3 linked regions of the Lonchura striata genome follow. The protein of the gene in region 1 interacts with the protein of each later gene in a biochemical or structural test. Links are inferred from orthologs where the notes say so. Each region holds a gene or a part of one and is shown on either strand. Other genes may lie near its edges.

Region 1 (7,283 bases):
CTATGCATCTGCCCCACTGCCTGCAGCAGTCCTGGAATATTGCAAAGCACTTCCCTTTTCTGTAAATTGCAAACAATTCCATCAAAATAATTTCTGTCTAAACCTTCTGGGTATGCTTGGGGAGACTCCTATTCATCTCTCTCTATTGAGATATGCAGTTCTCCTTAATTTATTATTGCTACTTTTACTGAATGCTGACAATGTACTGGCACAATGTCCTGTCAGCAACTGGTGTGCTGAAAATAGAGTCTCTAATCTAAAGAGCAGTGGCACAAAGTCCTGAAAACACTTAAGGCCTTTCAAAGTAACTAATATCAGTATATAAACAGATGCATTTTCATCTTTTAAAATGTCCACAGAACATAATTTCTTATACTAAAATAACTGCTGAGTTACCTTATGTTATTCTTCTTGGGATCAAGAGAGGTTTATGTTGACCAAGTTACATCACGGTAATATTTATCTCATTCACACCTGTGAACCAAAGCAATTTGGAAGGCTTCCAGTTCCCTTCTCACACAGCTTTGCATCTTGTCCCAGATTGCCATTCTGTTTATGCAAGTGACCTGTATTAGGGTCACAGTGGGCTGTCCCCTCCTTGCTTGGCACTTGGCACACTACCAGTTGTCACCTCTTTGTGTTCATCTACTCCAAGAGTCACCATACTGTGTGTTTTCTATGCAGTCCCAGTTGTCTCCATGCTGTCTGAAGCCATGCTGGAGCCCTTGTCTCACACTTTAGCAAGGAAAGGGGTGCATTACCTGCTCCTGTCTCTGCATTGCTTAAGACCCTCCTGAAATGAGTTCAGAGAGGTGGTGAAAACAGGACATCCCTGAACCACACAAAATCACAAAGACTTGGCAATTACAAAACAAATAATTAATCCAGGAGTGACCTGAACATCTGGAGAGGACTCCAGCACGGATCATCATGCTGTCCATATGCACTGTGTACCACAGAGCACAGAGATGTCCCTGAAGGGAATGACACCATGTGCTCTTTCCAAGAGGCCTCTCAGACAGATCTTTCTGCTTCACAGACAAATCCTACTTTATTTCAAGGTCTACAAAGCCTGTTTTTCTATTTTCACAGTGACAGACACTAGCAGCTTGACTGGTAAATGCATTTTCCAAGTTCTCCTGCTTCTCTCAAGCCACAGGATGTTCAAGAGGAGAAGTGTGGCAAGACACAATGTCCTCTACAGCTACTGCCTTCCCCAGCCACACTACTTCCCTCACATCCAATGTGCACCAGTTCTGCTGGAGTCTCTTAAAGACTTTCCCATTTCTGAGGACCCAAAAACTCTCTTGTTCTTCACCACCCTGGATTAAAGCCAAGTTGCTAACCAAAAAGGGAGTTTATTAAAAAATAAACATTGAATGGTCTCATTACAAAGTACGTGCTGCATTTTGATCATACAAGGAATTAAATCACAAAACCAGTGTGAGTTTGTTATCTTGACAAATCTTAGGAAGACATTTTCTCTTCAGTCAAAAGCTCATTGTGGCTTTTTTCCTCCTTTAGTAAGGCCTCATAAAGGCTTTTGGATATCAATGAAAATCTTAAAAGGCTTTACTTAACAGTAGAACCTTAATCAATGTGGTTTAAAAGGACTGTGGTTACACATAAAGTACAAGGAGACAGTACCTTGAAAGTGCAAATTAGTGGGAAGAAACATTGTTACCTCTCCAGCCTCCTTAAATTCGTTGAATTAACTGCACAGAAAACTTGAAGCATGTCTTCATCCTCAATCTGATTGTAAAAAAGCACATATTAGTTACACAAAGTAACCTCTCAAGAGACATTCAAGTCAGGGTCACCTCCTCTGTCACTCCTGAATTGAAGCTGTGCCCTTCCAACCACATGAAGAACAGGAAGCCAGACATCACTAATTATGGCAATCCTATCTTCCCTCTGTTTGCAAAAAAAAAACCCAAAGGTGTTGGTTCACTACACAAAGTGTAGTGTAAAAGCTGCCTGTAAAATTTCAAGCATTCAACCAGCCTTGTCTACGTTCACCTTCTCTGAATGCTGTGGTTGGTTAGTTACCTGGGCTCAGGGCCTTTTGCCTCACACAGTCTCTCCATGCTAGCATGGTAGCAAATCAAGCTTGGAAAAGTATTGAAAGAAAACTGGAAGAGCTTTATCAACACTAAAATCTCCCAAGACTTGAATAAAAACTTCTATGGAACTTTCCAAACTTATACAGTTGCTTTTTCCATTTTTGCTGTTTTGGAAACCAACCAACAACTGTTTATATTTCATGATTAAAGAGTTTATGCTTGCACTTTCCCTTGTTGCCAGTGTCAGGAAAAACTGAGAGTGTAGGGATTGTGCAAATGGTTCTAACAGAGTGAGATAAAATAAGAGAGAAATCAAAAAAAGAACCAAGGGGCTAAGAAGACACCACTGTTACACAGCAGAAAAGGAATGGGTTAGGATGTGCTACAATCTAAGCTAAAAGCTTGAAGAAAAGTGTGAAAAGCACATAGAGTATAGCCCACATAACCACCAGTGTCCAAATATGTCCATTTGTTGCGTATCATAACACAAATAAGCCTCAAGTTTAAAACTCACAAAATATGGCATGTGCATTGTTCTCATCTCTGCCTGATTACAGAGACAAAACACATCCATCAAGCTGACTGAGGTGCATTATTCTACAGAATTCCATAATTCTAGAGCTCCTCTCCTCTCCTCTCCTCTCCTCTCCTCTCCTCTCCTCTCCTCTCCTCTCCTCTCCTCTCCTCTCCTCTCCTCTCCTCTCCTCTCCTCTCCTCTCCTCTCCTCTCCTCTCCTCTCCTCTCCTCTCCTCTCCTCTCCTCTCCTCTCCTCTCCTCTCCTCTCCTCTCCTCTCCTCTCCTCTCCTCTCCTCTCCTCTCCTCTCCTCTCCTCTCCTCTCCTCTCCTCTCCTCTCCTCTCCTCTCCTCTCCTCTCCTCTCCTCTCCTCTCCTCTCCTCTCCTCTCCTCTCCTCTCCTCTCCTCTCCTCTCCTCTCCTCTCCTCTCCTCTCCTCTCCTCTCCTCTCCTCTCCTCTCCTCTCCTCTCCTCTCCCGCTGTCCATGGTGATCCATTACGGATTTGGAAGTGATGCTGTTTTCTTGAAAAGCAGCAGCTAACAGATGGCATGAGAGAAACCATGGGATTCTGTTAGTTTGATTTTCAGGAGAAAACTTTGGCTGCACATGCAGCCAGGAGCCACAGGCATAATCCCAGGAAGGAGGGAGCAGTCTCAGCAGCAGCGTGCAGACACACGGCAAGAGCTCCTCCATCACATGGAGGCACTGACCTGCCGGGGAGCAAAAGCCTGTTTGTTACCATGCCTGTGTTTTGTGCCAATTAGGAGGCAGTTACACTGAAAAATGTCTCTTTGATGTAAATCTCTTCAGGTAGTGAATGTTAAACACCACGCACCGCTGGGTAGGTATATGATTTTGCAGGATTGGAGCCTGCATCCAGGAGTAATTAGCAGGACTGTGCCAATCTTCAGTCCAATGTACTGGACTGCTAGGGCTGCACAGTGGGATACCGTAATTAGCAGAGATGCAACACGCAAAATAATTGGGAGGATAAGGAAATGCCACTGAAGTTTATATAAGGGGGAAAATTTCCTTAGATCTAGACAACCTCGTGTCACCATGAAACTTTCCACTCCTCTTTGGCGGGGTGTGCCGGAGCACAGCTATTAAAAGGCGGTTAATTTCGGTTTCGCTGTGATGTGGCCGTCATTACCTGGGGAGCGAGCAGCGCCCAAGACCCTCTGCCGGGGGGACGGACGGGGATGGGATCAGGGATGGGGACGGGGATGGGATCAGGGATGGGGACAGGGACAAGGGTTAGGGATGGGGATGGAGACAAGAATTAGGAATGGGGATGGGGACAAGGGTCAGGAATGGGGACAGGGACAAGGGTCAGTGATGGGGACGGGGACAAGGGTTAGGGATGGGGATGGGGACAAGAATTAGGAATGGGGACGGAGACAAGGATTAGGAATGGGGACGGGGAAAAGGGTCAGGGATGGGGACGAGGACAAGGGTCAGCGATGGGGACGAGGACAAGGGTTAGGGATGGGGACGGGGACAAGGGTTAGGGATGGGGATGGGGACAAGGGTCAGGGATGGGGACGGGGACAAGGGTCAGGGATGGGGACGGGCACACGCCAGGGGAGCTTGCCCCGCCCCGGCGCCGCCCTGCCTCTTTCTCTTTAAGTTTTCCTTTAAGTTTCACTTTCGTTCCCGAGCGGCCGGACCCGGCACCAAGGCAAGCCCCGGGCCTTTCCCAGCCCTTCCCCTTCCCCTGCCTGCCCCGGCTCCTGCCCGGCTCCTGCCCGCTTTCCCCCGGGCTGCGCATCCCTTGCTGCGCTCCCTGCCCTGGCCGCCCCCGCTGCTCCTCGGCCCCTCCGCCCGCGGCCTGCGCGCTCGGTTCTCTTGGTGTGTGTGCGTTCGAGGTTCTCTTGGTGTGTGTGTTCGAGGTTCTCTTGGTGTGTGTGTTCGTGTGTGTGTTCGCCAAAGCCGAGGCTGGACCCGGCTGTGGGAGCTGCTCTTCCACCCGGGGAGCTCCCAAAGCTCTGGCACCCCCGCTGCCCGGCCGCTGCAGCCTGCTGGGCCCTGAGCTGCTGCTGCTGCGGCCCGGTGTCCGGGGTGGTTTTCTATGAAACGTGTGCTCTTCTCGGTGAAGGCGTGATAAATGCAAATTTAATCGGCCAAACTATGGGAAAGGGGCAGGAATCGCTGCTAATTTCCTGATGAAAATCCGGAAGCAGAGACCAGATGTTTCAGTGCATCCGGCCCCGAGTGAAGGTGCTGGCGCAGATCGTTCTGCTGTGCTTTCCCGACTGCTTAGTGACTGAATTACAGCCACCATAGGAAATACGCAGGATTCTTTGTATATGCAAATGAAAACACAGGGGCCCTTGCTTTCATCCCAACATGCTTCTTTCTAGACCATGGAAAACTGTCTGGGAATTACTTCTGTGCTGAGGACAGCTCACTTGGGCACATGGCAGGGTACTTGGGACTACCGTGTGCAGGCCAGGTGTTGGACTTTGATGACCCCAGAGGGCCCTTACAACTCAGAATATTCCGACTCTATGTTATTATTGTATTCTATGATTCTGTGATCTTCCACCATATAATTATTCTTGATTTTGCTTTAATCTGCATTTTTGGGAGTGATGTTAGACAAGTTCCTTTTGGTAACTGGCACAAGAAAATAGAGATGGCTGAACATGTGCAATGCCACAGAAATTCAGGACCAGAAATCCATAGCCACTCTTTCTTGAGAAAGCATTATACAATAAAACTGCCTAAAACCCTCACATGTATCTTCTATAAACCAGGCCATAAATAATCTGGTTCATAGAATTATCTCTAAAATGTCAGTGCTCACTGAGGGACGCTTACATTCTTGCACTTTCATTTGTAGATGTCAGAGGATCAGCATGGTGATGTCTCTGCTGGAGAGGGAGGTGATGAAGATGGCAATGATGTAGTTGATGCAAGGCCAGATAGACGCAGCAGGTTCTCACTTTTTAGAACGTAAGTTCCTATTGTACTCCTGTTTTTGTTGTTGTATCAGCTGCCATGGTACCCTTTTAATCAAAGAAACACAAAAAGTCTTGATTTGGTGTTCAGTTTGCCATGTCCACAATGTTATTGATGGTCTGGATAGAAAGGTGGTTTATGTTGTATGAATTTAATGTATCTTGTCTGTACCTTAAATCATTTCTTTGTAATATCCCCTAAAGGGAAACCTATAATGTCTCCCATAAGTTTTATTTGGCAGCTAAGAGACCACCAAGTTCATTTAGCATCAATTACAGTCCCACATCTTAAACATTGACCTTTGATGGAGCTGGGAATTGAATATGCCATTAATTATCTATTTTACTGCACTCAGCTCAGCTAATCTCCAGCATCATTGGAATCTCCTGCTGACTGTCTAAGTTACTTTAAAGCCTGGATGTGCCATCTAGGTTGTAGCACAAAGAAGCCTCCCCAAGTCTAGAGATATAACCCCTTACAGAACACATTAAAAGCCTTTAATTTTAAAGCATTGTAGTCTCACTGAAGCATAAGCTTACTTTCATTAAATCAGTGGGAAGCAAGAACTATTTACTGCTCGTCTGTACTCCTGAAAATACTGGAAAATTTGATTAGAAATGCAAAAAATGAAAAATGAACACGCAAGGTTTATAAATGCTGTTGAATATCAGCAAATGGCTACTTGACATTGGATTTATTGAGATTTTGCAGGAGAGATTTGATGCAAAGTCTAATGCATTTACAGAGAGGTTTTGAGTTTTTTTACTATTGGAAGTTTACATTAAAGTGAGCATTATAATTCAGAGAGTACATGGTTAATATACTTTTATTTTTGCTGTTTATTCTATGAGTTTAATAGGGGTAATTCATGAGAGAAGTGAAAATGTTCTACTCTTAGAAGACTTTTGATGTGCTGTTAAGCAAATCACTGTACTTTGTCTCATTTTATCATTCCTCAAACATGTTTCATTATGTGTATGTGTATTATTAATTTTAACAAGTAGACAAATGTAACATTTGTTTCTAAATCTTGTAAAATATTTTTTCAAATGTTTCTTTTCAACTTCATAAATTGTGTGTTTTGATATTTGATTTAGTCTTCTTTATAAGAGGTGATATGCTAATACTATTATTAAATTATGCAACTCAAAGTTAATAATTTCCAAAGAAAAGGCAATAATCAGCATTTCTATGACTTTTTCTATAAGAAATATTTCAAATAATTTGGCTATTCATCAGTTTGAGGCATTCATCTTTTGGGAACTCCTTGAAGATGCAATTTACAACATTTTTCTTTAGAAGTAAAAAAATTGCTCAGATTAAATATGAGGTAATTGAGAGAATTCAACTTAGATTTTGAAGAAAATACTTTTGAGAAATATAACAGAGTTTCTTGAAGAAGGTAGTGATTTTTTTAAAGAGGAATGAGGTGCTTGACAGTTAAGGTATTTATCTTTGTCCTACAGAAACTAAAAGTCTTTGGTCTGAAGGAAGATATGGGAAGAATATTAGAGGATAAAGGAAAATGGAATCTGATCTAAACTATGATTGTAATAAAGGAGAAAATTAAGAGAGAATGATCTTTGTTCCTGGCAGGGAATCTAGGGGACATCCAATGAAAAGTTCGTGTAGTAGGTTTAAATCAAGTGTTAAGCTGCAATTTTAACATAGTGCAGAATGTCACTGCAGCCAGGGGATATGCAGATGTCAAGATTTTAGGTAAATTCAGAAGAAATTAGAT
Region 2 (7,177 bases), on another chromosome or scaffold:
AAAACCTCCAAGATATTGATTCTGACCATTAATTTAATACTGCCAGCCACCATGCTGCTAATCAAACTGGAGCAGGGCATATGCTGACAGCCCTACCACATGGCCAGTGGTCACAAGAGTGAACATGAGCTGTAGGGCTCAGCTCTGAGAGCCAGGTACCACCCATCACCATTTCCACTCCCCTGGGCTCAGATGAGCTCTGTCCAAGATCCAATCTGGCAGCTGAGCAGAGCAGCACACCTCTTGGCATTCACTGGGGTTTCATAGGAGTACAGAGCAGGCAGAACGGCATCCATGTGCAGAAACATGGGGTTCACCCTAGGAAATAAACACCACCAGGAACTGGCTTAAGTTGTCAGCTTCTGAAGAAGCAGGTGCCAATCTCCAAGTCCCTGCAGTTTCCCAAAGTCTGGCTCAATGAATTCACCACCATTCAAGTTATTGTCTCTTTTTTTTCCCTGTTAAATGAGGAAACTTTACACTGGGAACAGATTTCTGAAGACCTACAAATAAATTTTAGCACCCAATGAGTTCAGCAGAGCCCCTGCTGTTAGTTTCTAACAGCTTTTATTTTTCTCTAAAAATCTAGCTCTGAACAACTTCCAAGAGATTAATTGACTTTGTAAATGCTGCTTGTTACGGTCCTGATTCTGTACCTCTTCTTTGCACTGAGCAACACCTCTCTCCCTACCTGTAATGAAGCCATCAGGAGGATGATCTTTGTGCTCTGTGAGGCAGACAGACAGAATCAGGACATGTATAGTGATACTTGAATGTTTATAGCTAATTTTTTTTGTTAGGTTGTGTTCGTTCTTGCCTGCTCATGCCTGCTATAACTCTAGCAGAGGAATTCCAGAACAAACACCTTTGTAAAACTGTTTACACAAATCTGCATTTGAATGTAAATTCAAGTTGCTGTTTTGGTTTATAATTTTTTTTTTTCCACTTCTGTACTTTAAAGTATGCTCAAAAGTAGAAAATTTTACTGTGCAACACTTACTGTGGCTTAAATGTGTCCTGCAGTGATGTCCAGCCAAACAATATGTTGAAGGTTCTTGGATATTTCTCAGTAATTTCTTTGTTTTCCTCAGTCATTTGAAAGCACACACATAAACCACAAATGCAGGACTAAGCCCTTATAGAATTTACATCATATCAACAAACAAAATTTCCTTCTCAAAATCTCCAATTCGAGTTGGCAAAAACAGATTCTCTAAACACTTTCATCTTCTGTCCCTTAAACTTTAAAATTGGGGTCTCCTGTTCTGTGCAAAAATAGTGTCTGTGCAGAATTTTAGCTCTCTGTGTACATATAAAATTAAAGTCTTTCACTCAAAATGCACTATTAAGAAAGGAAATTATTTAGTACTTCACTTCTAGGTAGCTGATGTTTTCAAATCAGAGTCATAAGTATGTTTTGACTGTAGAAACTAGTTTACCAAAGTGATTATATTAATAATAAAAAACCCCAGCTATTTGTATGAATCTTCTGGCACAGTTCATTTCCTCTGTCCCGCTCCTCAGGGATCACGAAACGTCACAAAAAGCAGCAAGTTTACCACTGCCTGCCTGTGCCTTGACACCTGTGTTGACAGACAGCATCTGTGTTGGGCTGAAGCACTGGCAGGAACAGAGTTAAGCAACAAAATTAACAGATCAAGTCACTGAGGCAGGGATGTTCTCCACTGAGTGCTAAAGGCCCTCAGGTATGAAAAATCTGGATTATAAACTGAGGTAGCAGTTGGGAACTGTCCTAAATCCAAAAGCTTGAAAGGTGACAAATACAAGGTTAATCTTTAAAAACTTTCCAGATAACTAAACAGCTATGTCGGCCACACAACATGAGTGAAACTGTTGAAACTGTTCTAAAAACAAAACCAGGAAAGTGTCCAAACAGAAAAGAACATGGAAGAATTTATACTGTTATTTCTTTTTCCCACAAGAAAAGTGTACCTTAGGAAGGTTTCTGAAGGACTCAGTGCGTAGGTAAGAAATATGGATGAATATAACCTGCTTATATTTTCATAAGATCTTTGAGAAGGTCTTCAGTTAAAGCTTCTTAAGGAAATGAAATCACCATGGGAGAAGGAGTTCAGGGAGGTTAAATACCTGGTTTAAAGACAGTGAAAAGTTGTCAGATTTCATGTTGATAGTCACTCATGGGGTGCTACATGACTTGGAGGACATGCTTGTCCTTGCTTTTCACTATTTTATCTAAGTGTTGTGAAAAAGAGTGGACAAGTTGAGTGACAATCTTAAGCAGCATGAAAAATCAGTGACAAAAGACAAAATTTAGTATTGATACATTTACAGTACTACATGTGTAAAAAAGCAATCCTAACCTTATATGTATAATGCTGTCTAAGCATCTCTGAAATGGGATATTATTTATAATACTTTAATGACAACATTAGCTCCAGTGTTGTTCAGTGGGCAGAAAGGCAATAAAATATTAGGAATCGGTGCAAATTAAGAATAGAGCAAAACAGAACACCACTTAGTCCCATTACATAAATGTATGGGGCACTTGCATCTTGTATACAGCATGGATCAAATCTCCTGACCTCATCTAGCCAAGCAGCACAAGAACAGCACAAAAGAACAAGAAAGGGAATCAGTATTGTAGAACAGTTTCCATATGAGGAATGATTTCCTCAGCTTACGGCTGGGAAAAAATAGGAAGGACAGTTGAAAGCAGGTAGGATAGCAGTTTTATAAAGGAGAATTTGAGTGGAGGAGGGAATAGTTTGTCCCTTTTGAAGAAAGAAATGAGCTGTGGGAGTGTTACATACATGACAGCACAGCACAGGAAGTGGCTCCTCATGGGGTGGACTTCCTCTGTGACTCCTGGGCTGAGGATACTCCAAGCTCACAGAGGTCCAGAAACCAACAGGAAAAATACAGAAGGGCAAAAAAATTAAGGGCTATTAAAGGTGAAGGCACCCCAGTGACTCTCTCAAAAAACTGACCTGAAAAGCAGCGATCAAACATTTTGTGTGGGGAAAATGCCACAGTACATGGTGCTAGGTAGGTCAGGGGTTTGGAGCATCTGTCAGACTGTGGTGGGGATAGGAGTGCTGAGACAGCTGGGGCTCATCAGCCTGGAGAAAGTGCCTCAGGGGCTCCCCACAGTGTGTGCAAACAGCTGATGGACGAGTAGCATGGACAGAGTCGGGTTGTTCTTGGCAGTGCCTGCTGAGATGACCTGAGCTGATGGGCACAAAATTGACACAAGAAATCTCCATTCAAACACTGTACCTGTGTTGAAGCAGCCGCAAACATGAGTAGAGACTGGGAGAGCCCATGGAGAGTCCCCCTCACTGGGGCTCTTGTGGATGAAAAGCTGGACATGAACAAACTGTGCTTAGAGTGCAGAAAGCTAACCTGATCAGAAAGAGCGTGGCCAGCAGGACAAGCAAAGTGATTCTGCCCCTCTATTTTGCTCTGTTGACATCCCCCCTGGAGCACTGTGTCCAGCTCTGGGGCCTCCAGCACAAGAGTGACATGGACATGCTACAGCACATCCAGAGCAAGCCACAAAGATGGTCCGTGCAGGGGCTGGAGCAGCTCTCCTAGAAGACAGACTGAGCTGTGCCTGTTCAGCCCAGAGAAGACAAGGCTCTAAACAGACCTCACTGTGGCATGCCAGTACCTAAGGGGGCTTATAACAAAGAGGGAGAATGACACTTTACAAGGATACACAGTGATAGGAGAAAGGGGAATGGCTTTAAAGTGAACGAGCGTGCGTTTAGAATAGATTTTATGAAGAAATTCTTTATTGTGAGGACGGCAGCACAAGCGGCATGGGTTGCCGAGAAGCTGTGGATGCGTGGATGCCCCATCCCTGGCGGTGTTCTGGGTCAGGCTGAATCTGGTCTAGCAGAAGGCGTTCCTGCCCACAGGATCTTTAAAGTCCCTTCCAAGCCAAGCCACTCGGCGACCCCCGGCGCCTGGCGCTGGCTCAGCCCCTCTCCCGAGCCGCGGGACGCCGCTCCGCGCCCCCCGCCCCTGGCCGGGCGGGGCCGGGCCGGGCTGCGGGGCGTTCCCGAGCCGAGCCGCGCCGGGCGGGGCCCGGCCAGCCTGACCCAGCCCAGCCTAACCCAGCACAGCCCGGCCCAGCCATGGCCATCGCGCACATTGCCACCGAGTACGTCTTCTCCGACTTCCTGCTGAAGGAGCCGCCGGAGACGCGCTACAAGGGGCTGCGGCTGGAGCTGGCGCTCGACAAGATCGTCACCTGCATCGCCGTGGGGCTGCCGCTGCTCCTCATCTCCCTCGCCTTCGCCCAGGAGGTCTCCATCGGTAACTCCCGCGGCGGACAAAGGGCCCGTTGGGCGGCGGGGCCGGGCGGGAGCGCCGGGGCTCGGCTGCCGGGGGCTCCCGCCCGGGGCAGGGCGGACGGGCCTTTCCCGGAAAGCATCCCTGCCGGCAGGCTCATCCAGGTGTGCTGGGCTTCCCGGCCGGCCCTCCCCGCGCTTTCCCGTGCCCTGCTCCTCGCCGGGGCATTCCCTGGCCGCCGCCGTATCTTGCTTCTCCCGTGGGAGCGATGGAGCGCTGAAGCCGTGCCGCCCTTTGTTTCCCAGCGCGGTTCGGACCGCAGCAGCCAGCCGGGATGTGCCCCGGGGAGTGCCCGTGTGCCGCCGCTCCTGGCGCTCGGGATGTTCGGCGTTAGGATCTGGGTGTCGCTCAGCTGTCGGGGACAGGTGCCGCGGAGGAGGGCTGGCAGAGCTCTGCCTTGCGCTGCAGGCGGCTCGGTGGGGTGGTCACCCGCAGGATGGACAGTGAGAGCTCTCTAAAGCTTTCCGCTGCTCCTCTCCCCTCCTGCAGCTCTTCCAGTTCAGTTTTCAATTTCTGCCGTGGCTCGGTAAACGAAACTATGCTTTACAAGGTAAAAGGCCAGGTTCTCCAATGATTTCACTATATTTTTATTTACCCACCTCCCCAAGTTACAAAAGTGATTACGCAGCAGCCCTTGGTGCGAGGAGTGGAGCTAAATGATCTTTAAGGTCTGCTCCAACCCAAGCCTTTGTATGATTTGCTAATATGAATGAAGATTTCAAAGGTATATATGTAATGCTGTGCATTTGGAGACTGAATCACAGGATTTCCAGACTTTCAGAGAGATAGTTTGATTTGCTGCATGTACCTGTTTATTGGCATTCAGTGTTATATACCTGATCTCCATCATATACAGGTTTGGGTCAAGTGAATGTCAGGAGAGTGGAAACTGGAATGAGACTTTGGATGAGTGGTGAATCTTTGCAAAGCCATCATGAGTAGCATTAGTCAGATACCAAATTGCTTGAGAGATAAGATGCCCCAGATTGCTGTATTTATAAGCAGCTACACCCCTGTTGCACCTGATTGCTGTGGGCCGCAATAACTGCGTAGGGAAGTGAAGGACAACCAGACTGGGAATGCTGAGACCAGATCTGAACCCCGTGGCAGCTCTATTCACCCAGAAACTGGATGAACATCCATCTTTTGGCACTCTACTGTTCTTCTTCTAGTTTAAGACCTGCTACTAATAGATGCACATTGCTTATTCTTAAAGGAATGAAAAAGAGGTGTATTTCCATACAGTAGCTTGTATATGCGCCCCTTAATTCTTTCTACGTCTACTCTAGAAGTGCTGGATCCAGTTTGAAACACTTGAACAGTACCCAGTTGAAGGCTGGGTACTAATGTTTCTTTTATTTTTTTTCATTTTACTCCCTTACACAAAGATTAAACACACAGTTGAACTGCAGAGTTTGGAAAAGTGTGCCTTTCTTTCAGATGAGTTAAGTTTTTGTCTTTCAATTATTTCAATATTAAAACTATTTCAAATTGAATCTGTGAGTGCAGTAGATTAATAAAGGAAGAATGGAAATGTGGGCTGCATCGCTAGTGTTTTTTTTTGGTTATAATCCTGAGAACCTGTTAGAAGAAAATATTGGGTTGAAAACTGGGCTTTTTTAGTTGAAAAAATAAATATGCAAATAAATTTGGGAAGTACTTTTTATTGTTATTTCCGGACATGGGTGAAACTGCACCACGTGTTGTCCATACAGAAAGTGATAGTAAATCAGCCATGCTGCTGTGACAGCTGTCACCTATTTCCCACACAGTCCTTGCAGCAAAACAGGCTGGCTGCTTATAGGACAGCCCAAAACTGCTCCCATTAAAGCATTTGGAGGAACACTGAGGATTTTAGGGGCTGGAAATGCCTGGTTGTCTGTGCTGTGGTGTTCAGCCGGTGATGAAATAGACAGCAAAGTTTGTTTTCAAACACTTTGTGATATAATCATGCTCTGAAAAAGCCCAGCAGCACTAGACTGAGCGAAAATGTCAGGGTTCATTTTTACATCTGAAAAATAGCAACTCAGAGGTGGATGTGAAAATGTTTGGTGGAAATACCTGCCTCAGAGTACAAAAACTGAACACCCTTTCCAAAAACGAATGCTCAGCTTCTATTTCTGTTGGGATAATTGCATTCCTCCCACCTCAGGTTCTCTTGGCACCTCATCCTGTCCCCTTCCCTTCCTGCTCTGCTTTCCTGTTCCATTGCAGTGTGGTGTCAAGACACCTGCAATTTTCCTCCTACACGCGGTTGCTCTTAATTGTGCAAAATTATTAAAATGTATGCAAAGGCTATGGAAGTTTTCTGAAGCCACCAAGTAACTTTTAGTTTTGATGGGAGTTTCAGGAAATAAATGAGATTCCAGTTGAATGACAGAGGATTTCTCTGCTGGAGGCAAGGAAAACCCAGCTGTAACACCCAGCCAGTGAGCAGTGCTGAAATCCTGGGGTTAGTGCCTGCACCGTGCTTTGAAATTCTTCAGGGTCAGGAAGAGAACTAATCTGAGTTTACTGTTTGCTATATTTTAGAAATCCATAGTCAGTTGTAATTTTCTGAGGATTTTAAGCTGGTTCTGGTAGTAGTTAAGCAGTGGCTGAGCTGTTGTCTGCTATCCCTGGGAATATTTGCTATTTGAAATCCTGCACCTGTTACCTCTTTGCACTAGACCTTGTTTTATACAATTTTACATAGTTTTATGCAATTTTATATATACTGGGAATGGGAAAATGTAAATAACAATAGCATTGTGAGGATTGTGTTGTACATGTATATTCCTTATATTGTGACTTGGTATTATTTCCTTATATTATTTGGCAGTGCTTGGGTAAATTATAC
Region 3 (7,934 bases), on another chromosome or scaffold:
GCCGCCGGAGCCCCCGGAGCCCTCCCGGAGCCCTCCCGGCACCGCCCGACCGCCGCCGCACCGCCCGCACAGCCCGCGGCACACACGCCCCGCAGGAGCGCCCCGCCGGAGAGACGTCGCCATCCGCCATGTGAGGGCCCGGGGATGGGAGCGGCGCGGGGCAGGCCCCGCCAGGCCCCACCGGGCCGCGGGAGCCGCCCCGGCGCCGCCGAGCGAGCGCGGGCTCCCGCCGCCCGCTGACCTTGCGGCGGGCTTGCCTCGCTTATCGGCTGGGCCCGGCTCCGGTTACCGCGTGAGGGCGGAGCGCCCCGGCTCGGCCGCCGGCCCCGGTTGCCGGCTCGGCCCCGGTGTCCCGCGATGAATCTCCGCGCGGGATGAATGGGGCCGCCGCGCGGGTGGCGGGGGGTGTTCGGGGGTGTTTGCGCGTTTCTCGGCCACCGGCACCCGCCGAACGGTGGCGGCCGAAACCGCGGAAAGCTGCCGGTAAGTAACGCGTGGAACAATCCAGAGCGCGCAGGCGAGCGGATCTGTTGGCGAACTTGGGGTTTTTCTGCGGGAAATCCATCCCCGCGCTTGGCGCTGTCCCTGGGAGTGTCCGAGGCCGGGCTGGACCGGGCTCGGAGCAGCCCGGTCCGCTGGAGCGAGGTGGGATTTAAGCTCCCTTCCAGCCCAAAGCGTTCCAGAATTCCATAAAAAAACCGAGCAATAGCGAAAAGGCCCCTCAGGATGGGGTGGAGGCTCACGGAAAGCCCCGGGGCTGCCGTGGTGCTGCTGTGCCCGGTGCAGGTGAGCCGCTGGATCTCCTCCCCCACGTGCATCCCGAGCGGAATCCCGCGCTCCCGGCTCCCCCGGAGCTAATTAACCCTAATTAATCGCCTGCCTTCAGCCACCCGAAGCCAGCTCGTGGCAGAGCTCTGGTGGACGCGAGCGTTTCCTCAAGAAGAGCCGGAGTTTTCCACGTGCAGGGTGGAAAACGGGCTGGGAAAGAAGAGCTGAGCTGCCCTGGGAGCTGCCGGCAGCATTCCCACGTCTCCAGCGGCAGAACGAGGGTTCCCAACTGCCAGGGAGCAGCTTTGGGTGGGATATTGGGGAAAAAATTCCTCCCTCTGAGGGTGGTGCAACACTTGAATGGATTTTCCAGAGGATGTCCCATCCCTGGAGGTGTCCCTGCACATGGCAGGAGGGGCTGAATGAGCTTCAAGGCCCCTTCCAACCCAAACCATTCTGTGACCTCCACGGGCCTGGCTGGGAGGATTGGAGGCAGTAGCACTTCCTGAGGTTTTGTTTTGTCAGGAATTTGGGCTGGGGACAGCGTTGACTGATGGTTTTTGGGCCCTTATCCTCAGCCAGGCTTTTACTTTTCTTCTGAAGCCCTGAACAGTGGAGATGCTTCATCTTAACGTGAGTGAAAGTGAGAGAAGTGTGATCACGTTGGAGTTTTCTCGTGTAATTTCTGTAGATTTCAGCATCCTGAAACTGCAGCGCTGCTGCATCTGCATAGAATTGTCTAAAATCTAAAATGAGGCTTTCTTAAAATGGGGAGGAAAAAAAAAAAAAGGCGCCTTTCCAGGGTGTAAAAATGAAAGGAAAAGTCATTTTGTAAAACAGGTTTTATTGCTGTCTGGGAGGAGGAAATCTTGTTGAGGGCCTGATTCCTGCAGTGTCCTCGAGCTGTGGGAGCTGTCAGGATACTTCCAGGAGACAAAGCTGGGATTCCATAGGCTCGGGATACAGGCAGAAAACACAAGAACAGGTTTGGAAACTTCCTCGATGCCACAGATGGAGAGATTTGAGATTCCCCTGGTGAGTTCAGCGTGCCAGAGACCAGGAGAAATCCAGGGATATCCAGCAGAGCTCCCTGGATCAGGAAGAGCCTTGAGGGCTCTGTGGTCAAGCTGAGCCTCCACGTTGCCCATCAGTGCTGCTGGGAAGCTTCTAGAACTTGTTCCACAGTGCTGGAATAACGATTGGAATGTGGGGATTGGAAGAGCTGCAGTGGCTGCTCAGGAAGTTCCCAGAGCACAGGTGGATGGGACAGAGGAAATCCTCACCGGAACAGAGCGCTGGGAACCACCCAGGAATTTAAAAGGGTTCTAAATTCCCTTTTAAACCTTTAAATCCCTTTCTGTTTTCCAAATCCCATGCTGGAGGGGGGGTGCTGGATAACCAAAACACCCTTGGCAGGAGGCTGAGCTCCCTCGGAGTTGGGGTGAGCAGGATGGAGCTCCGACAGGCGGTGGGGCAGTGCCTGTGAGAGGAGATTTTCCACGGGTGTGTGGGAGCTCTGGGAGCACGTGCAGGGCTCCCCACGGGCTGCTGCTGTTTGGGGTTGTCTCCTGGGAATCTCCGTGTGGGCAGGAGACAGAGAGGAGCTGCGGCTTCCGCCTCATCCCAGCTCCCCGGCAGGTCCTGCAGTACTGGTTGGAACTGGTGAGTCCTGACTGGAGCTGACTGGGAGGTTTCCCTCCTGCCTTTGGGAGGATGAGATTGGAAAAGCAGATAAAAGGAGGAGAGGCAGCTCCAGCACGTTCCGAGCACTCTGGGGGTGAATTCCCAGGAAAGCAGTGCAGGTTTAGGCTCAGAAACCTGGAATTATGAAAATTAGGATTTCCAGAAACATGGAACTAGAATTATGGCAGAGTCAGACAGATTTCTGGGAGGTCACGGGCTCTGAGCTCTCTCAGGGTGAATTCCTAGGAAAGCAGCACAGGTTTAGGCTCAGAAACCTGGAATTATGAAAACTAGGATTTCCAGAAATCAGAATTATGGCAGAGTCAGACTTATCTGGGATCTCACTGCTCTCTGCTGCTGGGACATGTGTGTGTAGCCTTGAGCTGAGTGGGATTTCTGGGAGGTCATGGGTTCTGAGTGCTCTCAGGGTGAATTCCCAGGAAAGCAGCACAGGTTTAGGCTCAGAAACCTGGAATTATGAAAATTAGGATTTTCAGAAATCAGAATTATGGCAGAGTCAGACTTATCTGGGATCTCTCTGCACTGGGACATGTGTGTGTAGCCTTGAGCTGAGTGGGATTTCTGGGAGGTCACGGGTTCCGAGCGCTCCCGGGGTGAATTCCCGGGAAAGCAGAGTGTATTTAGATTCAGAAATGTGAATTCTGGCCAAGTCAAACTCATCTGGGGTCTCGCTGCTCTGCAGCTCGGGCGTGTGAGCCCTGTGGGGTTTCTGGAAGCGCTCTGAGTCCTGGTGCTGCCTCAAACCCCCGATCCCAGCCGAGCTGCCGAGGTGTTATGGTTTGATATTGGTACCATGTTAGTGTTTTTATGAAAATGTAATTTTTTAATTGAATGTTGTGAAATGGAATTGAGAATAGAGTAAAGCAGGCTTAAGTTTAATAATAAGGGAAAAAATATTAAGTTATTATTATAAAAGAAAGGAAAGGGAAAAAATATATAGATTAAAATGAAAACTTTGTAAAATTTTTTTTATTATTTAATTTTTATAAGTTATACTGAGATATCATTTGGATTTTAATTAGGTTTTTAATTTTTAGAGAATTGATACTTAGTTTATTGAGGGAATAGAGGTTTTTTTGTGTTATAGAGTTTTAAAGAAATTCTACTTTTAACCCCTCTATATTCTCAAAAACATGTCCACCTTCAATTACTCAATATCTAAATTAACCTCTTCTTTCCGAAAAAAAATTCTTTCTCCATGTCAAACCACAACACGAGGTCACGCGTTCCGAGCGCTCCCGGGGTGAATTCCCAGGAAAGCAGCACAGATACAGATCCAGAAATGCGAATTGTGGCCGAGTCAGACTTAGCTGGGATTTCGCTTCTGTCCAGCTCACACGTGTGTGTGTGTGAGTGTGTGTGTGTGTGTGTGTGTGTGTGTGTGTGTGTGTGTGTGTGTGTGTGTGGAGCCTTGAGCCCAGGGCGGGTTCTGGGAGCGCTCCGAGTCCTGGTGCTGCCTCAAACCCCCGATCCCGGCCGAGCCTCCCTGGGAAGGCTGGAGATGTCTCCATTGACATTGAGAGCTGGGAAGTGTTAACACCATTCAGCCCCTGCGTCACCCGGGCAGGGACACTGAGATTTCTGTTAATAACGGGGCTGGAGCCACGTTCCGAGTGCCCCACGCTGGGGGGTTTTGTCTCCTGGCACAGAGGGAGCAGAGCAGGGCATTTCTCATCCTCCTTTCCTCTTGGGAGTCTTTCATTCCCCCTTAAAAGAGGAAATCTGTGTCCAAGAAGAGTTTAAAAATACCACAGTAAAAAAATTGCTGCTCTGCTGCTGCACTTCACCTGAATAAGGTGATAATTAACATTCCGTGAAATGCTGCTATGAGGGAAAGCAGCGGGTTTTCACCCCTGGAGCAGCTGAAACTCAGGGCTGAATTCAGAATCCACTTTTTTTTATGCTCTTGGAAATGAAATCCTTGGACATTGGTCTCTGCCCAGGTGTTGTGGCACCTACAAGAGGTGTTTGGGCTGCCCAAGGCATTGTGGCCATCCTGCTGCCTTTCCCTGAGTGGCACCAGTTTGCCCAGGACCTGTGGCACTGGGGGAGCTCAGAGGTGGCTGGTTTGGGGTCCAGCTGGAGCTGGGCTGGGCCATGGTTGGGTTCATCCCTAGGAAATGTGGATGGGAGCAGCAGGAGCCTTTGGTTGAGTCCCTTTGCTAAATGTGCCACAGCTCAGTGCCAGCAAATAATGGCTGATGAGGCGAGTCGAAATCTTCATCTGGAAGTTTAGCAAAGGTTACCTTAATAAATGGTCTGAAAAGTTGTTTTTTGGTCAGATATTGGTTTAGAGAGAGCAGCACAGAGGGCCTCAGCTACTGTCACAGGCCATGTCACATCAGCTTCCCTGTTTAAATCCTTGTCCAGCTCAGAGCCTTCCACCTCATCCCACAGCTGGGAAAAATTCCTCCCTGTGAGGCTGGTGAGGCACAGGAATGGCAGATAAAGGGGGAGATAAGGTTAAAAAGCAGATTAAGATGGGATATTGGGATGAAATACCTCCCTGTGAATCTGGGGATACCCTGGAATGGATTCCCCATCCCTGGAAGTGTCCAAGGCCAGGCTGGACAACCTGGGCTGGTGAAAGGCGTCCCTGCCAGGGCAGGGGGTGGCACTGGCTGAACTTTGAGGTCCCTCCCAACCCTTCCACCGATCTCAGGAAGACAAAGGAGTTGAGGAACACCCTTGGGCTCTGTGCCTCTGCAGCAGCCCTGCTGGGAGGCCTTTGCTTCTGGAATGCAGCCGTTCCCTGGGCTGGGCCTGGGAGGGGGAGGAGGTGTCTGAGCCCTGCCAGCTCCTTTCCCCGCTCCACCGAGCAGTGCAGGTGAGTTCTCAGGGTGGGACTGCAAACACAGGAGTTGCTCTGGAGCTCTGTGCCTTTCCCAGCTCCCCTGGACATGCTCTTGCTTTTTGAGGTGCAAAGGCAGAGGAATTCCAAAGTGTGTGGCAGTCCTGGTGTGAGCACTTGTAAAAGCTTGGAGCAGTGATTCTCCAGCCTGTGCTGGCTTAATTGGGTCTTAATCATAGCAGATCCATTTTTTTATAGTATCAATACCCCAAAAAGGGTTTGGTTTTTTTTCTGGTAGTTTTACTTTAGGTTTTAACTCTTTGCGTGACGAAAACCACTCTGAAGTCTGCCTGTGCAGCTGTTGGAGGTGGTGGAGCTGCTGCCATAATCTGTAGTATCTCATCTTGAAGTTTATCATAATTTTGATCTGCTGAAATGTTGATTTCAGTCTCAGATTTCAGTGGCTCCTCCCAGGAGCTTTCTGGGGGCGTCACACTCCAAATGCACCAAATACATAATTTCTTTTGATTCCAGCCCTCTCTTTTCAGTTTAAAGCAACTTTAAAAAATAACAGTAAGCTCGAAATGAAGGTTTTAAGTGCAAAAAGCTTTTTTTTTCCCCTTGGATTTCTTGATGAAAATCAATGCCCCTGTGTCCCTGCTGTGCCCACAGGCAGCCTGCCTCTGCAAAGTGGTACGACCGGAGGGACTACGTCTTTATCGAGTTCTGTGTCGAAGACAGCAAAGACGTAAATGTAAATTTTGAAAAGTCCAAACTCACGTTCAGGTGAGTAATTCCGGCACAGGGAGCGCTAAGGAGAAGCAGATTTGTTCTATGAGATGTTTTTTGGGCTAAATACTGATTTCTTTTTCTCTTGCAGTTGTCTTGGAGGAAGTGATAATTTTAAACATTTAAATGAAATCGATCTTTTTAATAATATCGATCCAAATGTGAGTATCCTCCTGACTCTTCCTGAGTTCTTGATGCTGGTGAGGGGCTGGCACAGCTTGTCCAGAGAAATTGCAGATATTCCATCCCTGGAAGTGTTCAAAGCCATGTTGGAGCAACCTGGGCTGGTGGAAGGTGTCCCTGCCCATGGCATGGCTTTGGAACTTGGCTTTTAAAGTCTTTTCCAACCCAAACCATCCCTTGGTTCTTGGATCCTAAAAAATACCATCTGTTCTTTAGGCTGCTCCCAAGATTTTATTCCTTTAAAATAGGAATATGGAATATTTTCTAAGGGGAATTATTCCTTAGAACATAAAAGCTCAAAGTCAGATCCAGGAAAGATTCTCTGGGGGGGTATTTTTCAGGACAAGGAATAAGGGAAGAGGTGAAGATAAAGGAAGGATGTCAGCAGTTCCTGGTGAAGGTCATCCTGATGGTGCTAATGGATATTTGCTCTTTTTCAGGAATCAAAGCATAAAAGAACAGACAGATCCATCTTGTGTTGTTTACGAAAAGGAGAGTCTGGTCAGGCATGGCCAAGGTTAACAAAAGAGAGGGCAAAGGTGAGTCTGGGCATCTGCTGCCTCCCCTGGCTTTCAATTTAGTGAATATTTGGGTCATGTTCAAACTCTGGAGCAGTTTTGGGTCACTTTCCTGCTCCTGATCCCACGGCAGCTCTTGTTAACCTGTTCTAAGTGACAACCACTTCCTTGTCCTTAAATAATTCCTTGTCCTTAAATAACTCTTGGGTCTTGCTGCAGCTCAACTGGCTCAGCGTGGACTTCAACAACTGGAAAGACTGGGAAGATGATTCAGATGAAGACATGTCCAATTTTGATCGCTTTTCTGAGGTAGGGAACTACAAATTCCTGGAGTTTTGGGAGTTGCCAGGCAATGAATCCTAGCTTTTTGTGCACCATCACTTTGTAATTCCTGCATGGGGGCAACTGATCTGTTACAGCAAGGGGAGGGCTGTTGGTTTTGGGTTGTTTTGGGTTGGATTCACTCCAAAGCGTGGCTGTTCTGTCTCTGAGCAGATGATGAACAACATGGGAGGAGACGACGACGTAGACTTGCCAGAAGTAGATGGGGCAGATGATGTGAGTATGTGGGTGCAGTGAACACCTGCAGGGCTGGCTCAGAAGTCCTGCACTCACCCCTCAGCACCAAAAAAAGGCTTAAATAGCCCCAAACCTTGTTTGCACAGGTGATGTCACCTGGGGAGGCCCTTTCCCTCCCCTCTCAGCAGTGCTGAGGGTGCTGGGGACACCAGTTTGGGGTGTCTGTCTCTCTGCAGGGATTGGGGGTCACTGTGGGTCTAAAGGTGCTGGGGACACCAGTTTGGGGTGTCTGTCTCTCTGCAGGGATTGGGGGTCACTGTGGGTCTGCAGTGAGGCCAAACTGAGCTCCCTGTGTCATCTGGAGCTTGGAATTCCTCAAAATCCAGATTTGGGAACAGCAGCTCTCTGCTGGCAGGGGAGAGGGTGGGTCTGCTCCACTTAAAGGTTGTTTGTTCTCCTTTGCAGGACTCACCAGACAGTGATGATGAAAGTAAGTTGTTGTCTTTGTTGTTTTCCCCTCACACACCTGCTGAAGGCTCCGAGCCGCCCTCGGGCAGGGCCAGCAGATGTTCATCCTGGCTGCCAGCTAAAGCCAGCCCTGGGAGACAAATCTAATCTGGGAAAGCCTCTCCACACAAGCCCCAAATACCAGTTTGACCTTC

What was found. The genes of interacting proteins can lie anywhere in the genome.
Region 2: of the proteins of CASP7 (region 1) and PANX1, one has a biochemical effect on the other in vitro, tested with the Homo sapiens proteins (2 studies listed by IntAct). The link is inferred for Lonchura striata from reciprocal best matches to the Homo sapiens genes CASP7 and PANX1.
Region 3: of the proteins of CASP7 (region 1) and PTGES3, one has a biochemical effect on the other in vitro, tested with the Homo sapiens proteins (2 studies listed by BioGRID and IntAct). The link is inferred for Lonchura striata from reciprocal best matches to the Homo sapiens genes CASP7 and PTGES3.

What each region holds. Positions count from the first base shown.
Region 1 is NC_134609.1:24,509,441-24,516,723, forward strand, and holds the start of CASP7 (caspase-7), read left to right. Parts: upstream 1-4,231; 5' UTR 4,232-4,259; intron 4,260-5,423; coding exon 5,424-5,536; intron 5,537-7,283. UniProt on the Homo sapiens protein: Thiol protease involved in different programmed cell death processes, such as apoptosis, pyroptosis or granzyme-mediated programmed cell death, by proteolytically cleaving target proteins.
Region 2 is NC_134604.1:39,428,632-39,435,808, forward strand, and holds the start of PANX1 (pannexin-1), read left to right. Parts: upstream 1-4,084; 5' UTR 4,085-4,121; coding exon 4,122-4,302; intron 4,303-7,177. UniProt on the Homo sapiens protein: Ion channel involved in a variety of physiological functions such as blood pressure regulation, apoptotic cell clearance and oogenesis.
Region 3 is NC_134629.1:5,675,159-5,683,092, reverse strand, and holds the start of PTGES3 (prostaglandin E synthase 3), read left to right. Parts: upstream 1-4,841; 5' UTR 4,842-5,906; coding exon 5,907-6,049; intron 6,050-6,143; coding exon 6,144-6,213; intron 6,214-6,675; coding exon 6,676-6,774; intron 6,775-6,972; coding exon 6,973-7,062; intron 7,063-7,248; coding exon 7,249-7,311; intron 7,312-7,737; coding exon 7,738-7,762; intron 7,763-7,934. UniProt on the Homo sapiens protein: Cytosolic prostaglandin synthase that catalyzes the oxidoreduction of prostaglandin endoperoxide H2 (PGH2) to prostaglandin E2 (PGE2).